2 linked regions of the Stegostoma tigrinum genome follow. The protein of the gene in region 1 interacts with the protein of each later gene in a pairwise test. Links are inferred from orthologs where the notes say so. Each region holds a gene or a part of one and is shown on either strand. Other genes may lie near its edges.

Region 1 (10,052 bases):
TGTAGATGATACGAGCTTGCTGTGTGTTTGGTCTATTAGAACTATGATAACACTACAAACATACTTCCTTGGCTGTAAAGCATTATTGGGCAGGCAGAGGTTGTATAAGGTGCTATACAAATTTAAATCCGGTCTTTTCCAATTCTAACCAGAATGACAACTGACTCAGTGATTCAATAGAAGATTATTCACCTGCCCAATGTCATTATTATCATTGTTATTATCAGAGACTGCTGCGCCTGTGGGATTCTCTGCCACAGAAATCAGTAGAAACTAAAAATAGTTGAATGTTTTTAACAAGGATTTGGATATAGTTCTTAGTCAAAAGGGATCAACATAGTACAGAGTACCAAACTGGGTGATCAGCCATGATCATACTGAATGGAAGAACAGTCTCAAAAGGGCTGAATATTTTCTATTCTGCCATGTTTCTGTGTTCAATAATGCTCTTTAAGCATATAATTTGTGTTTGAAACTAGTCCTTATGCAATCTTTCCATATGACAAGTATTCCATACTGCAAGTATTTTAAATTGTGAAAGACTATGCAACACTTGTGAACATCATATGCGCAACTATAATATTTTGTGACAATACCTTGGAGTTCTATCACTTGGTAATGATTATGTCACATATACAAAACAAGTGAGTATTGTGAAATATGGAAGTCACAATTAAATGCGATGATTTTCGTACCACCACAATGGGCAAACTATTGCAATACTAGCACAGAGATAATGGATTCTCCAGCATTTGCTGTTCCTGAGATAACAAGGTGTAGAGCTGGATGAACACAGCAGGCCAAGCAGCATCTTCTTGCCCTGCTGTGTTCATCCAGCTCTGCATCTTGTTATCTCACAATACTAGCACAGATAATTTTCATGGATCGAACACATTTGTACAACAATTGTAATATGTGTGCATTGTGTTGCTAGCAATGCTTTTCAGGGTGAGAGGAAAAAAAATTGTCCGCTGAGCATTGTAGAAATTATTTTGTAAAATAGCTAATTATAATGGCTGGATATCTGAAAGCTAGTTGTTACACAGTTGTCACAATGACACAAGATTATGGTCTTGTTAAATACTTGTAATAGCATCTGAGCCACAAGAATTGATGTCATTAGCACCAATATTTGAAATTAAAATCTATGACAGAAGATATTTTTTGCTCCTAAGAAACTGCACACATCAATACACAGCTGGAACTAATAGACTCCTCAGGCTATGTTATTTACAGAGAATATATTAAAAAAAATTGATACTGGAATATTATACATGAAATGTCTCCATAATGCAAACCTCCACAATAACGATCCATGAGGTTTAAAATGGGACATTAAGGAAAAACAAAAATCAATGTGAAATTAATATCCATAAATATGTGAAAGCCTTTCAAAAGCGAATTAGAACAAAACATGAACTGGCACTCGGTGGTCATTTGTCACACCACAAAAAAATCTCAATGAGAAATAGCTTTGCCTATATCAACTGTCATTGGTTAAATACTAGAATACATGTCTGTATAAAGTAGTGTTGGATTTGATCCCCCTTCTGGGGTCCTTACAGGATCATTTAGTCCAACAGGTTGATGCCGAATTGTTGGAGCTGCTGCCATTCAATGAGATGGCAAACCCAGGTTTCCCATGCTTGTTCAACAGGCTCCTTGGCACTACTCAAAGAAGGGGAGGCGATTCATGGCATTTTAGAAACATTTATTTCTCAACCAACACAAGCCAAAATGCAATAAGTGATCATTTATCTCATCACTACCTCACGGTGCATAAACAGCCCAGCCATCTGCCTGCAAAACAATCTCTCAGATAATTCACTGGCTCAAAAGAATTTGGGGGATATCATGAGCACATGAAAAGCATTATAAGCATTCTAAGCTGCACAATTTCAATTACAAATAAAATGTGTTGCATTAAAAAAGTCATAGTTTTCATTGTTAAGGATTCTATTATCCCTTTAAGCTAATTCCTGATACAGGGGCTTCTGCTAGAATACGACAGTTGCATTCTTGCGCAACATCGTGTTATAGAAAATTGCGCACTGGGAAAAGTGGGTGTAGGGCAGACCACCAAAAGGTATCACTCAACAATCACAACACAAAGGATAGCACAGCTTGAATAAATGTTTAATTTGTATTGAATAATGAAATAAAAGGAAATTTAATACCTTGTCTTGAAAAAAATGTCAAGATGTCTTGATGGGAGGGGTGGTTTTGAGGTTGCAGTGTTGTTAATACAGAGCCTAAGGGTTGTCATCATCATCATCATCATTATCTTCAAGTGCAGTTGTGGTGCAGGGTTACAGCAAAACAAACAGTTAATCCACAAGTATTTGGCTGTGGTTCATTGTCTTCTGACTGTTTCTTGGGGATTGGCTTTCATCACCTGGTTGCTTCTTACTAACATTCTTATCACTTTATCCTCACATTTTTGTGGGTAACACGGCAGAATTAGCAAAAATAAAACCAGAGTGCTGTACTCGCAGGGAGCGCTGATGACCACGTGATGCTGGCACGGAGACTCTTTCAGCGCTAACACTGCGCATGCTCAGCACAAAGCCCGCAAAACAACCACACGATGTTGACGCATACTCCATGGAATCACATTATAGCCAATACGAAGATCACATTTTAGAAACAGCATTCCCTTATTCATCAGTCGCGTTATAGCCAATTCGCTCTGTCAGAACACACATTACAGCAGAAACCCCTGTATAACTTTCAATATCATATTCAAGCATAATTTCAATAGGTAACAATGGATGTCGGTGGATTAAAACATTTACAATTTCTTTATGTTTATCTTTATTAGAATGGCCACTTTGACAGGGGTAAGCACTGCTCGTGTTAGGAGGTTCCAGCTGGGAGTCGGCTGAACTGCAACAACTTAGCAACTGAACTTCAGTCCCCAGGGTTTCTATTCACATTTCTGCTAGAAAAGAATTAGCTATCAAACTGCTCAGAACAGAACTACACTTGGTTTTAAGGCACTGCACTGTGAAACTCACTTCACAAGTTGATGATTAAGAACAGAGTATTCGGGCAGGATACTTAAAGCATTATGGAGCCAGCATCAGCTCCCTCAGGAGCAAGGGACATAACGGAAGTCACTTTGGTGAAAGTGAATATCCAAGCTTTCCTGACAGAAGCAATAAAGTACTTGAATTTTATTCTTATGGTAGTCAGCCTATAAAACCCACATTCAACATTACTAATCTGAAATAGCTATAAATCGACTTGATTTGATTTACTATTGTTACATGTGTTGACATTCAGTGAAAAATGAGGTGATGGCCTAGTGGCATTATCACTGGGCTGTTAATTCAGAGCCCCAGATAACATTTAGGGACTCAGGTTCAAATCCTGCCACGGCAACTGGTGCAATTTGAAGTCAATAAATATCTGGAATGAAGAGTCTAATGATGATTGTGAATCCATTGTCGATTGTCAGGAAAAGCCCATCTGGTTCACTAATGTCCTTTAGGGAAGGAAACTGCCATCCCTACTCAGTCTGGCCTCCATGCTATAGGAAGGATATTATAAACTGGAAAGAGTGCAAAAGAAACTTACATGGATGTTGCCAGAACTGAGTTGTACAGAGAGGCTGGACAAGCTAGGACTGTTTTCTTTACAGCATAGAAGACTGAGGGGGCAAATCTCAAAGAAGTCTAAGAGAGGCATGGATAAGGTGAATGCATTCAGTCTTTTTCCCAGGGTTGTGGAAATCGAGGACTAGAGGGCCTCAGTTTAAGGTAAGAGGGGAATGAATACAGGGGAACTGGAGGGGCAACTTTTTTTTTTACACAGAGGGTGGTACGCATATGGGATCACCTGCCAGAGGAAGTGGTTAAGGCAGGTACAGTAACAACATTTAAAAGGCATTTAGACGAATACACGGAAAGGGAAAGTTTAAAAAGATATGGGTCACGTGCAGGAAAATGGGGTTAGCATGGATGGACATTTTGGTCGTCATGGACCAGTTTGGGCCAAAGGGCCTGTCTCTGTGCTGTAGGGCTCTATGACTCAGTTTTGTTTTGTTTGCGATCCAGGCAATTCATACTGTACATCAGGGTGATAGAACAGAATGCAGAGTTTGGGTTATGGCTCCAGAGAAAGATCGACACTAATGTATGAGGGATCCATTAGTAAGTCTGATAACAGCGGGGAAGAAACTGTTCTTGAACCTGTTGGTATATGTTTTCAAACTTTTGTATCTTCTGCCTGACAGAAGAGGGAGGAAGAGAGTATAAGCGGGGTGGGAAGGATCTGTGATGATGTTGGCTGTTTTCCCAAGGCAGCCCAAAGTATAGACAGGGTCAATGGTAGGAATGCTGGTTGGATGATGGACAGGGCTGCATTCACAACTCTCTGTAATTTGCAGTCTTGGACAAAGCAGTTGCTGTACCGAGCTGTGATACATGTGGAAAGGATGCATTCTATGGTGCATCTATAAAAATTGGTAAGAGTCACTGTAGACATGCCGGAGTTCCTTCGTGTTCCGAGGAATTAGAGGCATTAGTGTGCTTTCTTGACTGTAGCATCAATGTGGGTGGACCAGGACAGATTGTTGAGAATATTTACTCCCAGGAACTCTCTATCATCTTCACCTCGGCATCACTGATTCAGATAGGGGCTGCTCTCCACTCCCCTTCCTGAAGTTGATGACCAGCTCCTTCATTTTGCAGACATACATACATACATTTAAGGAAGTGGACAGTACCTTGATGGTCAGCTGCGTACTAAGCAACTCTGGTGTGACTCTGGGCTGCATTCAGGCACGGCATTTGCTGCAGAGTAGCTGAAGGACCCATGTTTGGCTAGCCTTGACTTTCTCTGGGCTCTCTTCTCAACTTGTTCAGCTTTCAGTTTCTGATTGAGTCATCCTTCAGTCTCTGTGAAAGGTCATGATCATGGTCATCAGTGACTTCCTCATAGCTGAGAATGTCTACTATATTTTTATTAAGACATTTTCAAGCAGGATAGAAGTAAAGAAACCCAGGAGATTCTAACCTCTTGGCCAGTTCACTGCACAAAAGGGTTTTTGGTGTATGACTGCCAGCCCTTTGATGCACCAGCCAAGCCACATTCAGATGTCACTGGCTTAGCAATGGGTACATTCTGATGAAAGTAGTATACTCCAGGGTCTCCAAGTTGTAATCTTGTCTTGCCAAGAATGTATTTGTGACAATGACGGGAGAAATGGTTTAGACTTTGTCACTTGAATAGCATTTGTTGCCCTGATCTCCCAGTATTCATCTGTACATGGAGGATACAACCTGATAAATTTGACGTATGCAGTCCTCAAACTTTTCCATACTCTTACACAGCTCAGGCAAAATTGCAGATTTTGCAATGTTGCATGTTGATTTCAGCATACAATGGCAGATTGCTGGTAATCGTGGAACCTAGCTATGTGAAATATCAACAAATCTCAAAACTCCACTGTCACATCATCAGTGCTGACTGATAGCAGTGTGACAGCATCCTTGAGAATGACATTTGTCTTCTTGAAATTAATGGTCAAATCAAACTCTTTACTGACACGAGACACACAATCCATTTGCCACTGAAGGTTTTGTTTAATTTAGAATGCTCATTTGGATGAGTATTGACCGACATTGGTGCACCTTAGGTAAAAGAGATTGAAAATATTTCTGCCATTTTGTTAGACAAGTAAGCATCCTCTAGATGATTGGATGCTTAAACACAGCAGCACAGAGAAAGAACATACCTGAATGGAACAATGTCTGACCCTACTGCGGACCTCAGAAGAGTTCTGATGAAGCTCTTAGCTGTCACGAACAAGACATTATCACATTGTTTTACTGTTGAAATTGCTCAAGTTTTCTCCACTGAAACACGTGGAGGATCAGGCAGTGCGGCTGCGGAAGGACTTGAACAGATTAAACACGATGTCAAAGACTTGGCTGATGGAATACAACATGAGAAAATATGAGATTATGCACTTTGGTAAGAATAAAGGTATAAACTATTTTTCTAACTGGGGAAAAGCTTTGGAAATCTGCAGCAGCCCTAGTTGGGAGTCCTAGCTTAGTATTCTCTTAATATTAACATACAGGTTGAGTTTGACAAGCAGGAAGGCAAAAGCAATGTTTGTATTTATTTTGCGAGGGCTTGAATACAAGAGCAGAGATGTACTGCCAAGTCTGTATGAGGCTATGGGGGTCACACCAAATTTGGAATATTGTGAGCAGTACTGGGTCTGTGTCTAAGGTGTGCCAGTCTGGGAGGTGGTCTAGAGGAAGTTTGCAAGAATGATCCTGGGGATGAAGGACTTGTCAAATGGAGAAGCAGTTGAGGACTCTGGACTGCACTTGGAGTTTAGAAGGATGGGTGGGATCTCATTGAAACATACAAAATACCGAGGGGGCCTGGATAGAGTGGACGTGGAGAAGATGTCTCCACTAGTAGGAGAGACTAGGAACCAAGGGCACAGAGTGAAGGGGTGACCCTGTAGAACTGAGATGAGGAAGAATTTCTTCAGTCGGAGAGTGGGGAATCTGTGGAACTCATTGCCACAAAAGGCTGTGGAGACCAAGTCATTGAGTGCATTTCAGAACAGAGATAGATCTGTTGTTTATTAACAGGATTAAATGTTATGGGGATATGGCAGGAGAATGAGGTTGTGAAACATATCACTCATGAATGAATGGTACTGCAGACTCAGTGGGCCAAGAGGCTTAATTTTGCTCCTATGTCTTGAGTACAGATAAGTCCACATTAGGCTGAATGTCCTGATGAGATCAATGAAGGTAACATACATAGTAATCCAAATCAATTGGATTTAAAATGTTGCAAGTAAACGAAGATGTTTCAGCTTAACATTCTGGATTTAATAAGAATGGTATGCCCACTTAGCATCAGTACATTCATTTTAGCAATGTTTTGCCTTGGGGCCAACAGAATGTGCAAGACCCAATTGATGCCAATTTGGAATAACCTCTCCCAGTCCCAGAGAGGCCACCACTCACCACAACCCTCCTTGACTTTGCTGCTTGCTGCTCCCCTACCTGTGTCCGGAGTTTGCATGACATGATCAGTGTCATTTTAGCGATGTTTCTTCTACTCCCAAAGATACACACCTGGTGAGCACGTCACCTACAACCATTTCCCAGGCTAACCCTTCCACACAATTGCTCTTGCTCCTTTTCAAGCTTTCTGTTTCTTATTGCCCATTCCAGGACTCTAGTCAAGTTTCCATGTCAATTATGGGTTGTCTTGTGAGCTATCCACCAACTGCAAACAGTCAAACGAGTGCAAATGGTCCTGACATTCCAGCTTGCCAAAGATTTGACATCCTCTTTTTTTCAAAAAATCTTTTCAAGCTTTTAATGCTGGATCCATCCGCTTGATGAGTAGAGATTAAGATCCATTCAACAACTGAAGGTGATGTAGCAAGCTTCTTAATCACGGGCTGTGCAAAGTTGGTGTTGGCTGAACAGTGAGAAATGACGATCCTTACCACAGGTGGAGAGAGCCCATAGAACCCATTTCTATGCCATTCATGTTGGACTCATGATTTATAGCCGCTGTCTCTAATGCTTATGCTCTACATATGCCAGGGCAGAAGACTAGACTTGGATACCTTTCACTACCCAAAAGTTAGGGTTCCCTTTACCAATCTATCTGCTCGAGTCCAAAGGCAAAGCAGGGCATTTGGCAGCAACTTGATTGCAAAATTGCTCAGATTTTGACATTAGTCTCCCTTTGATTTGTGTCAGGGTTTATTCCCTAAGCCTTTAGGTTTCACAAGGTACCAATAAGGCAGTGAAGCTATTCACGCACAGCTGGGAGCTTGGCTCAAAGCATGACACACGCTGGTCTGCCTGCACAATGCCAGTATGGGGTCTAAACTACCTCAGAGTTCCTCTCAAGCTTCAGCTTGGTACCAATTTCAGTGCTGCCGCAAGTCACAGCTGAAGATTTGGCAATGGCGAGGCCGGACTGGCAGGAAAAGACTAACACATTTGGCTTGCTTTCTCAGATCTCCACTGGACAACAATGAAGCCTGAAAACGAGAAGCAAGCCATCACAAAAAAACAGAAAACTTCAAACTCACTTCACCCACACACTGCATATATCACGCTGACCTGCTTGACACATTTGTTGGACTTGCATACAATTTACAACTGTCAACACATTTCACACTGTTTGGTGTACACAACAGAAAATAGATATAGATTATTCAGTATCTGTGAAGAGAGAATTTACATCTAAACAGCACCTTTCATGATTTCTAAAATGATCCAATGCACTTCACAGCCAATTAAATATTTTTGAAGTGTAGTCACATTTGGAAACATGGGAGCCAATTTATGCACAGCAACTTTCTACAAGCAACAATGAGATTACAGCCAGATAAACTGTTCTGATGTCTGCTTCAATTTTGAATGAAGCTCAATGTTGGGGTGAGACTCGTCATTCAGGAAGTGGCTTGCTGCTTTTGGGGAGTGGCATATCTGTAACAAGAGGAGGATACATGTTAACTACATGTGAATGTTAACTCAACTGTTCTTACTCAGACAATACATGGGACACCACGTGTACTGCACTACGGCTGCTAAAACATATTTCCACAAGTAAGGTACAGAATCATACAAACCAGAAATGTCTTTCCACCAGCTGGAGTATGATCCATCCTGTCAACTGTTTCCCACCAATAATCGACATTATGGTTGCCTTAAAAGATGCAAGATGTTTGAATTCCTGAGTTCTGTAGTCCATTTGAGTTTGTTAAAACAGGTTTCTTGTTTTGCAATAGCAGGAAAAAATGCATTCAGTGAACAGGTTTACTGGACAGCCTGCTTGAGGCAGCAGCGCTTTAATGTAACATAGGCTGTACACAGCCTGTCGGAGTGCTGTTAAGAGTGCATGGAGAATGATAAAAGTCTCTCATCTGCATGCTTCCAGGTTGTCAGTTCTGGTGTCCTCTAGGAGCTCCATGAGTCAGGTGATGTTGCAATTCGAGGAGGTTTCTGGATGATTTTGGGTCGAACATGGCAAACCAGTAAAGGCAACCCAGCAGAGTCATGATAAGACTGGGTTTCTTAGAGAAGGCAACTAGTGCTGATGGTGGCTGCAATGGAGAACGATCTAGAGACATTTCATTGTGGCCAATATTAGTCCTTCAACCAGCATCTTTAAACAAAAAAATGGGGAGTTTGCTGCGTACAAATACATTCCAAGGTTGACTACACCTCAAAAAACAATTTAAGTGTTTTACAACCAATTTGAGACAGTGGTCATGAAAGGCACTCCTTAAAATAGAACATAGAACATAGAACATAGAACAGTACAGCACAGAACAGGCCCTTCAGCCCACAATGTTGTGCCGACCATTGATCCTCATGGATGCACCCTCAAATTTCTGTGACCATATGCATGTCCAGCAGTCTCTTAAATGACCCCAATGACCTTGCTTCCACAACTGCTGCTGGCAACGCATTCCATGCTCTCACAACTCTCTGCGTAAAGAACCTGCCTCTGACATCCCCTCTATACTTTCCACCAACCAGCTTAAAACTATGACCCCTCGTGCTAGCCATTTCTGCCCTGGGAAATAGTCTCTGGCTATCGACTCTATCTATGCCTCTCATTATCTTGTATACCTCAATTAGGTCCCCTCTCCTCCTCCTTTTCTCCAATGAAAAGAGACCGAGCTCAGTCAACCTCTCTTCATAAGATAAGCCCTCCAGTCCAGGCAGCATCCTGGTAAACCTCCTCTGAACCCTCTCCAAAGCATCCACATCTTTCCTATAATAGGGCGCCCAGAACTGGACGCAGTATTCCAAGTAAATTAATTCCAAGTAAAGATGCTGGAATTCAAGGTAGAGAAACAGGAGGCTGGAAGAACACAGGAAGCCAGGCAGCATCTTGCAATACTTTCTTTCAGTTCTAGATCATGATTGATCCTCAATTCTTTTGGAAATCATTAAGTCTGCGTCCTCTAGCTCCCAGCCACGGCTACCAACAATGATTCACTCTACCCTGTCTGAGCCCCTTATCATTTCATCTCTACCAAA
Region 2 (10,397 bases), on another chromosome or scaffold:
AGCAAGAAACAGTTTTAGTGACTTAATATTTTGGCTGTAATTCAGATGAATGCACATTAATGCTCTTTCCTAAATTCTGTGTCTTCAACACAAGGTAATAGAAGCTTTCCAATAGTTATCCATAGAATAGCACAAGAAGTTATGACTAATCAAGTCTATGCATAGCACTCTAAATTTTATCCAATTTTCTCACAACACTGCAATTTTTAATCCAGGTATATATCCAATTCCCTCTTCAAGCTACTACTGCATCTGTATTCACAGAAGACTGCAATCCAAATTACAACTAAAGTGTTGCATAAAAGTTTATCCTCAAGTCACCTGTAGCTGTCTTATCAGGCAGCTTAAATCCATGCACTGAAGTTACCGATACAAATTATCCAATTTTTTCCTCATTTATGCAATCCCACACAACTGTAATCCTCATCTCTAGAACCTTTTTAGCTAATTTCTTCTGAACATTTTAGGAAAGTAAAAGCATACTTAAGGTAGCATGTGCACAAATGGGCATATTCCAACTGGTGCTGAACTAGTATTCATGGTCATAGCATACTTTCCCGGCTCATCCTCTTTTACCTCAAAACGTTTGGGATCCCAAGCTTGGTAAAAATTTCTTCCACCAACTACATGCAATACTCCAAATTCGGAGAAGTTAGCTGGTATTTTTCTCTTCATTCTCCCAATCAAAATCAGTTTTATTTCTGCAAGAATGAGTTTGATCAGTTGTTTCCATATAAAAACTTTAAACAAATATCACACACCGAAGGCACTGAGTTAAACCAAGGGAAGGATAAGGCTAAACAGATCCATTGCAGATTTCATGAATGGTACAAAACTGTTTAGTAATAAACATCAGTCACATCATACAGATTTGTAAAATGGTCATGCAATTTGTATTTCACTAAGAATTTGTTCCACGATCATTTACATACACAAGTAAGAACACAAAACCAAGCAATTTAAATCATTTCACTATTTATTGTCAATTTATGTACAGCTGCACTTTAGATCCTTGATGGGTACAGCATCTGGAAATTTAAAAAAAAATCAAAGGTGAATAAATAAAATGAACCATCCACAAACAGCTTACTATTTCCATCAAATGAGTCACAATACATTTAAGCTGTGCATATGTGGAGAAACACATTTGCCCAGCTACTACTCTCTTTGGTGTCATCACTAGCCATTTTATTTCCATGATTTTGTAATGTCTGTAAGTTTTGTGCAACTGAACAGATACAGCTTGACTACAAGCAAACAAACTCCCTCACAGTTGGGTTTTTTCCAAAAAAAAATCAATGATTGCCTCAAGCCAAAACCAGTAAATTGTGCTAGGTTTGTTCAAACATACTGCAGTCAAGATTGTACCAAACTTAGCTGCGCCAAAAATGACTTGAGTATCTAAAGAGACTGCAAAAAAAAAACAAAGCATTTTTTTAAAAACCTCACATTGTAAATCATCTAAATACCAACTAGCTTGGAAAATAAACAATTCAGCAATGGTGGTCAGCCTTCACAAAAATTATTTATTTCAGTATTTTCTAATAAGCCATTGCAGAAAAAAAATGCTATCCCTGACGGGACAATTCAGTGTCATCTGTCAAAGATATCTGAAGCAATACACATTTAAATTTGATGATGACGTGCTCCAAGTGAAACAAATGGTACAGACTGTTGAATAACTTGAGTTATTTTAAAACAGACAAAAACATATTTTAGAACATAATCAAGCTGCTGAACGGTAACACAAGCAGCTCAAACTCTGTGATGAAAGGAGAATTTTGATCACTATAATATACACACTAAACACAGCCAATAAACCTCTAGATGCCCAGGCCACCATGAGGATTTGTTCAATATTGGAAGATCAAATATAATAAAATCAGCATCTGAAAAAGATTGATTCTGGCACTCACCACACGAATTCTATGCCCAATAGCTTTAGCAGGCAGGTTACTGCTGAACTTTGCACGCACCATGCCACTGTTTCCATGAGCACGGGTTACTTTACCCCAAATGACACGAGTCTTGTTTGGTTTACCACCAGGAGTCACAGTGTTACTTCAAAAAGAAAAAGAAAATTACATTTAAAAACAAAGGTGAACAATGCTTTCTCAAGTGGAAACCAGTGAAGCAAAGAGCCATTGTTGCAACAGTGAACTACTACCCAGCTAGATGTTATCATTTAGTGGGTTTCTAATGTAGCCTTCAGAAGAGTTTGAGAAGTAAAATTACATAACCAAAGATAAATCCAAAAACAAAACTCAGCCACATGGATTCAACAATCTCAGATAATAATCATTCTCTTTCTTTCCTTATCACCCCCTTCCAGGACAGCAAAAATGTACCAAGCAACTCAGATAAAATTAGAGTGCACATACAGCTGCATAGCACTTTTAAAAATGAAAAATCCATAAACAATGCTGCGGTCAAAAACAAAAACACAACATGGAGCATTAAGATCATACTGCCAACCATAAACAAATGGTGGAGTTTTTCCATTATCAGCTAGTTGAAAGTTAATGAATTCAATAACTATCAAGAACAGATTCAAGGTGAGATCTACAGTAAACCTGATACATTTATAAGGATGTATTTTAAACGAGCATACATTTAAATCTGGTCAACTTCTAAAAGACTAATATGAAGCAGGTAATAAATTTTGGTCTTCTGTTAAATACTACACAAACTAAGATGCTAATTCTACCATAACGACAATTCACTGGAACAAACACATATGGTACCAGATACCGCAAAACTTTCATGCAAGTAAAGTCAAACATAGCAAGTGAATTCAAACAACCCCATTTTTCCAACAATGATTGTACAACAAACATTACAAATCAGTCAAAGGAATATAGCATATGCAATTCACAGTGATGCATACGTACTTCTTTGCCTTGTAGACATAAGCGCATCTCTTGCCCAGGTAAAAATCTGTTTCATTGCGGCAATAAACACCCTCAATCTTCAGTAGAGCAGTGTGCTCTCTCTGGTTTCGAAGGCCTCGTTTATAGCCTGTAAACACAGCTTTACACCACAATCTGCAGAATAAGATACAAAATGAGCTTTGTATTTTACACAGAAGCTCAAATAAATGATTAACTTTTCAATATAAAATGAAAAAGACATTAAGTCAAAGAATTCCAGATAGATAAATTAGAAGAGTTCAGATGGAAGATCACTTGATCAGGAATGTTAACTGCTTGTCTCCACAGAAGCTTCCGGATGTGTTTTTACAGCATTTACTGTTTTATTTGGTATTTCTCGGGTCCGGTCGTTTGTTTTTGTAATTAAGGCTCCATTGAACAATCTCAGGCAAAATATTTATCTATTATTTCGGATGTCAGCCCAGTGCATTTCCAGACTTTTCTATTGATTTCTATTGCAGAAGATTCTCTTTGTCGGAAAAAAAACCAGGCCAGATCTGAAATTCGTTCATTATCTCCCGGAGAGTACTAGTCACTTAGTTGAAAAATCTCATTTAATTTTACAGCGCGCCATGGATATCACTGAATCAAACGCACGAGGATATACTTTGAACAAGAGAATGAGGGATGCAATGCGAGGGTGAGTAGATATACGAGAACTGGATAGGCCTGTTGACTCTAAACCACTAGCCGAAACGATAATCCATATTAACAGGCATCAGAAGAAAAACGAACACGTTTGCAGAAGGGCCCCGGTATTCTACCCACAGCCCCTTGATGATATACCCAATCAGGCGCTTCTAAGAAGCTGCCCCAGCCTAAGTGTGCGCGGCCCCCAGGACCAGCTCTTACCTTCCGGGCATTGCGAGCGCGCTCGGGGCAGCTGGATCTGAGAAAAAGACAGGAGGACAGTCAACACCAAGTACAATCCGTTCGCTATCGCAAACATCCGCTGACATAAACTCTCTCAGATAATAAATATCTAAATCTCACTATATTATACAACAGATACTTCTACGATGAGGTTCCATTATATCATCAACAACAGTTAAATAGCTGTTAGAAACGAGCATATCTCTAACTCACCGCCGGCCCTGCTACCAAGATGGACGAAGAGGCTGCAGCAAGGCAGGCCGGGAAATGAACTGACGGAAGCGGCCAATTCGCCCAAACCGAACCAGACAATATATTGGACCAAATAATAAACTAAAACAAATATTTTTTTAAAAGCTACAGTTATAAAAACAACTAAACTTGGCCAATTTCACGGATAAAAAAATTCAATCCTAGAACTAATTTATTCAAAAAATAGGTGGAAATTTATTTTAAAAGCATGTTTAAATATTTATACATGCTCAGACTCATGAATGTCGTAATGCATTTGCTTTGTAGTGATGAACTTGACTGCAAGGCAACGCCGTGGACAGCTCAGTCAGTGTAAGCCCCGAAGTGTTTCCACGGTAACAGGCAATCATGTATACGACCGGAGTGAATAGAGAGGATCTTTGTAACTTTCCCAAAAGTGATTCTCCATCGACTACAAATCATGACAAAAAAGGGTGAGTTCGTCTGAGAGACGATTTATATGCAGTTATCTATGATCTATGAAGAAAACGGTTGACGGCAAACACACATTGCTGGAAAGGAGGGCGAGAGGACGGGGGGACAAGTCAATACAACACAGAGTTGTATAGCATGGAAACAGACCCTTCGGTCCAACTTGTCCATGTCAACCAGATATTCTAAGTTAATTTAGTCCCACTTGGCCCATATCCCTCTAAACCGTTTCTATTCATATAACAGCCAATTGACTCCCTGTGGCTGCTCATTCCATACAGGCACTGCCCTCCCTGCGGAAAAAGTTGCCTCTTAGGTCCTTTTAAACTTATGCTCTATGGTTTGCACTCCCTTACCCTGGGGAAAAAAAGACCTTGGCTAGTCACCCTATCTGTGCCCCTCATGATTGTGTAAACCTCTATAAGATCAGTCTTTGACTCTGCATGGAAAATAGTCCCAGCCTATTCAGCCTCTCCCTATAGCTCAAACTCTTCAACGTTCTTATAAATCTTTTCTGAATCCTTTCAAGTTTCACAACACCTTTCCTGAACACAGTATTCCGAAAGTGGCCTAACCGATGTCCTGTACGACTGCAACATGATATCCCAGCTACTATACACAATGCACTGATCAACAAATACAAGTGTACCAAATCCCTTCGTCACTACCCTATCTACCTGTGACTCCACTTGCAAGGAACTATGAACATTTACCCTGATTGCCTTACCAAAATGGAACACCTCAATTTATTTAAACTCTATCTGCCACTCCTCAGCCCACGTGATTAAGGTCCCTTTGTACTGAGATAACTTTCTTCACTGTCCAATTTTGTTGTTATCAACAAACTTACTTAAACCAGAATAAGAAAAGCAATTTTTTAAAGAAAATTGTAAGTTAGAATTCTGAATGTTGACTTTTGGTTAAACATTCATTACTGTTACCACTGCATTATCACAAGAATTTATTTTGAATTTCTTAGATTACAGTTTTTCAACCCATTCCCAAAAGATTTGCTCAGGGTTAAAAAACTCAAACACTTGGAACCAATTTGACAACATTTTTACTCTTTTGCAAAACTGCCATTGACCAAAGTCCAAGCTATTGCATTATTACCGCACCTTGGCATAACTTAGTAACGGAAACCTGTTTATACTAATCAATAGCAAAACGAGATTTCCATTATTATCACTTTTAAGATCTGGTACATTTAGGTGTAATGAAGGATATCTTAAAAACTAGTAGCTATTTATTATATACACTGTTGACCTTAATTCTTAAGTTTTGAAATATTAACTCTTCAGTCCATTAGTCTGATTCTATTTTAACTGGATTAATATTTTAAAAAAGATAACAAAACCACAGAATTTCATTTGAGCCAAATATTTCAAATGAGATTAACCAACCTTTGGGTACAGTTTAATGACTATCCTTTGAGGTAGCACTGTTTTATTTGATCATTCCGTACAATTGCAAAAACAAAGTTGGATTTCACAGCTTGCAGAAATTTTAACATAGCTATTAGCATTAATCTTACATTTTCATGACTAATCAAGGACCAGGATTTGCTCCTTTCCAAATTTTGTATCTCATGAATCAAAGGAATTCCTACATAAATGTTATATTCTCACACTCGAGAGATGCAAGGAAAACAATTCTAAAAAAGATCACAAGTGTCCCATTCATTCTCCACAAGAGAGATGTAAGGAAAGAGATTTTAAAACGGATCGGAAATATACGGTTTATTCTCTACAATATTAAAAACATGCATATACACACTTGCATACAGTCTCAAAATATACCACCTTGTACAATTTATCCTCCAAAAATATGACATTCACAAGCGTGATATTACAATTTTGAAATCATTGCTTACTTACCAATTATGCTTATGAGCCACTTAAAATGGCAGTGACCTTCCTACTTACCAATTGGTTGACATATTAGGCATAGACTCACCTAATATGTAGTTCTGGAACTAAATCTGTCCGAAGTAAATCTGATCACACTTACTATCAGGAACCGTATTCTTCTTCACCATGAATTAAAGGAGCAGATGAAAGTCATCAAGATTTTTTAATAGAGTTGTACAGCATGGAAACAGACCCTTCAGTCCAACTTGCCCATGCTGATCAGACATCCTAAATTAATCTACTCCCATCTGCCAGCATTTGGCCATATCCTTGTAAACCCTTCCTATTTATCTACCAATCCAGATGCCTTTTAACTGATGTAATTGTACTAGCCTCCAACACTTCATCTGGCAGCTCATTCCATACACACACCACTCTGCATGAAAAAGGTGCTACTTAGGTCCCTTTTAAATCTTTCCCCTCTCACTTTAAACCTATGCTGTCAAGTTTTGGACTCCCCTCCCCTATCAAAACCTTGGCCATTCACCTAACTATGCCCATCATGCTTTTATGTACCTCTATTATGATACCCCTCAGCCTGAGATGCTCCAGGGAAAATAGCCCCAGCCAATTCACCCTCACCCTATAGTTCAAACTGCCCAACACCAGTAATATGCTTGTAAAGCTTTTCTGTGCCCTTTCAAGTTTAACAACATCTTGCCTATAGAAGCGAGATGAGAATTGAACGTAGTATTTCAAAAGTTGCCTAACTAATGTCCTGTACAACCACAACATGAATCTCAACTCCTATACTCAGTGCACTGAGCAATAAAAGCAAGCATACCAAACGACTTCTTCATTCTCTATCTGCCTATGACTCCACTTTGAAACGAACTATGAATGCACACTCCAAGGTCCTTTGTTTGGTAACACTCCCTAGGACCTTACCATTAAATATATAAGTCCTACACTGATTTGCCTTACCAAAATGGAACAATTATTTAAACTAAACTGCATCCGCCATTCCTTGGCCCATTGGCCTACCTGATCAAGGTCCTGTTGTACTCTGAGATAATCTTCTTCATTATCTACTGCATCACCAGTTTTAATATCATCTGCAAACTTCCTAACCATTCCTTCTATATTCACATGCAAATCATTTATATAAAATGACAAAAAGCAGCAGACTCAGTACCAGTCCTTGCAGCAGATAGCTGGTCATAGGCTGCCAGTCATAACAGCAACTCTCGACCACCACCCGCTGTCTCCTACCTTCAAACCAGTTTTGATTCCAGATGGCTAGCTCTCCCTGGATTCCATGTCATCTAATCTTGCTAAACAGGAATGGATGTAATTGGAAATGGAGCCCATAGAGAAAAAAAAAACAGCAGTTGGACAGACAAAAGAAAGGTTGGCTAGCTGGAGAGAAGGAAAAGCTGCTAAGGGGCACCATTAGTGAGTGAAAATGCATTAGCTATGGTGACAGCAACTCATGATGACGAGGCCTGGTGTGTGGGGGTGGAATAAGGTGTTCAGGCCCTAAAATTATTCATTGGTTGATTGTTTTCATGTTTTCACAGGACTCAATATTGAGTTCTGAAGGTTGCAGGGTCACGAGGCAGAATATGAGATGCAATCAAATCCTTGCTTAAATACAGTATAACCTGTTTTCCTTCTTGTTTTTTTTTTAAAAAAGAGAGGCTGAGGAAATACAACCACTTTCGCAGGGGGATATTCTTCGCATTGGCACCGTGTTAGGGGATTGTGTAGATCAATTAACCATTCTTGGCCTCATCATGCCAGTCTCCTATGAGGAAAAGACAGATGTAACCAGTGTAAGTGATTCCATGAATATTTGACCATCTGTCTATGTATCACATAGACTGCATCCTCAGAGGTATTAAATTAGTTGTTGATGTTTCAGATCATCAAGGGTGTCGAACATCCTGTCATTTAGAAGAATGTGTGTATCCCAAGGAAACCTGTAGCAGCAGGGAGAAAGTGAAATAAATGTAAAAATTGGAGCAATTGCAAATACATAACCTTGGATCTGTCTTAATTTCAATTATTTAATGGTTACTGGAATTAACTGTATTCCACCAACCTTAGAGTGAAATAGCAGGACAGACTGTAACTGTCTCTTTGCAATGGTGCTTGGTATTTGCTGTAGTACTTCATAGAAAGATAGAATTCCTGCAGTATAAAAAGAAGCCATTTGGACCATCAAGTCCACACCAGCTCTCCAAGGAGCATCCCACCTTATCCCTGTGACCCTGCATTAATTAGCCTGCACATCCCTGGACACTACTGGTCAATTTACCAAGGCCAAACCACCTAACTTGCACATCTTTGCACTGTGAGAAGAAACTGGAGCACTGGACAGAAACCCCAGCAGACACAGGAAGAACGTGCAAAATCTGCACAGACAGTAGCCTAAGGCTGGAATCAAACCTGGGACCCTGGCACTGTGAGGCAACAGTACGATCAACAGTGATAATGGGAACTGCAGATGCTGGAGAATCCAAGACAACAAAATGTGAGGCTAGCTGAACACAGCAGGCCCAGCAGCGTCTCAGGAGCACAAAAGCTGACGTTTCGGGCCTAGACCCTTCATCAGAGAGGGGGATGGGGTGAGGGTTCTGGAATAAATAGGGAGAGAGGGGGAGGCGGACCGAAGATGGAGAGAAAAGAAGATGGGTGGAGAGAGTATAGGTGGGGAGGTAGGTCAGTCCAGGGAAGACGGACAGGTCAAGGAGGTGGGATGAGGTTAGTAGGTAGATGGGGGTGCGGCTTGGGGTGGGAGGAAGGGATGGGTGAGAGGAAGAACAGGTTAGGGAGGCAGAGACAGGTTGGACTGGTTTTGGGATGCAGTGGGTGGAGGGCAAGAGCTGGGCTGGTTGTGTGGTGCAGTGGGGGGAGGGGATGAACTGGGCAGGTTTTGGGATGCAGTGGGGGAAGGGGAGATTTTGAAACTGGTGAAGTCCACATTGATACCATTAGGCTGCAGGGTTCCCAAGCGGAATATGAGTTGCTGTTCCTGCAACCTTCGGGTGGCATCATTGTGGCACTGCAGGAGGCCCATGATGAACATGTCATCTAAAGAATGGGAGGGGGAGTGGAAATGGTTTGCGACTGGGAGGTGCAGTAGTTTGTTGCGAACTGAGCAGAGGTGTTCTGCAAAGCGGTAACAAAGCCTCTGCTTGGTTTCCCCAATGTAGAGGAAGCCACACCGGGTACAGTATCCACTTTGGCCACATTGCCCTTGTACAGGTATAAACAAATAGAATGATCTGTATATTTAACAAGTTTGATCACCTCAATGCAAAGTGTAAATATATTCGACTTATCGCTGTGCAAAAATTTTGTTACCCACGATATAGAATTGAAAAGGGCTTGCAAATTAAACCGGAACAGAATTCATTGAAAACCTGCTCCCAGCCAGTTCCTTCATTTTGACGGACACAAAAATTGTTGGTCACCTATGGTAAGAGGAGATGAGGCCCTCGCAAAATTTGTCCACTGAGTTTAGAAATGGGATAGTCAAAAATTGTAACCTCTTTTGTTACAGGTTTCATACTAACGACCACCAGAACTGGCAAACAGTAGATGTATGACAAAACCCCAGTTATTCAGCCATGTTAGAACATAGAACATAGAACAGTACAGCACAGAACAGGCCCTTCAGCCCACAATGTTGTGCCGACCATTGATCCTTATCTACCATCTGCCTTATCTACTACACTTCTCGCATTAAAACGATGCACCTCAGACCACCTATCCCTTTGTGTTCATCATCTGCTCCCCGACTAATATTCCCTTTAGTCACACGGACTCCATTATCTAGTTCCCTACAGGCTTTCGTTACTACCTCTTTTCTGTCCAATGTTTGGTTCCCATCCCCCTGCCACATTAGTTTAAACCATCCCCCACAGCATTAGCAAAAGCACCCCCAAGGACATTGGTTCCAGTCCGGCTCAGGTGTAGATCATCCAATTTGTAATAGTCCCATCTTCCCCAGAAGCGGTTCCAATGTCCCAAAAATCTGAACCCGTCCCTCCTA

The links.
Region 2: the proteins of sh3gl3a (region 1) and rpl35a interact in a two-hybrid assay, tested with the Homo sapiens proteins (2 studies listed by BioGRID and IntAct). The link is inferred for Stegostoma tigrinum from reciprocal best matches to the Homo sapiens genes SH3GL3 and RPL35A.

What each region holds. Positions count from the first base shown.
Region 1 is NC_081386.1:7,600,879-7,610,930, forward strand, and holds the start of sh3gl3a (endophilin-A3a), read right to left. Parts: upstream 4,882-10,052; 5' UTR 4,781-4,881; coding exon 4,730-4,780; intron 1-4,729. UniProt on the Homo sapiens protein: Implicated in endocytosis. May recruit other proteins to membranes with high curvature.
Region 2 is NC_081367.1:48,545,744-48,556,140, forward strand, and holds rpl35a (60S ribosomal protein L35a), read right to left. Parts: upstream 4,106-10,397; 5' UTR 4,017-4,105; intron 3,820-4,016; 5' UTR 3,794-3,819; coding exon 3,783-3,793; intron 3,571-3,782; exon of another isoform or gene 3,497-3,570; intron 3,045-3,496; coding exon 2,892-3,044; intron 2,062-2,891; coding exon 1,917-2,061; intron 1,029-1,916; coding exon 1,005-1,028; 3' UTR 959-1,004; downstream 1-958. Other genes in the region: iqcg (dynein regulatory complex protein 9), read left to right, coding at 4,404-4,489, 8,034-8,172.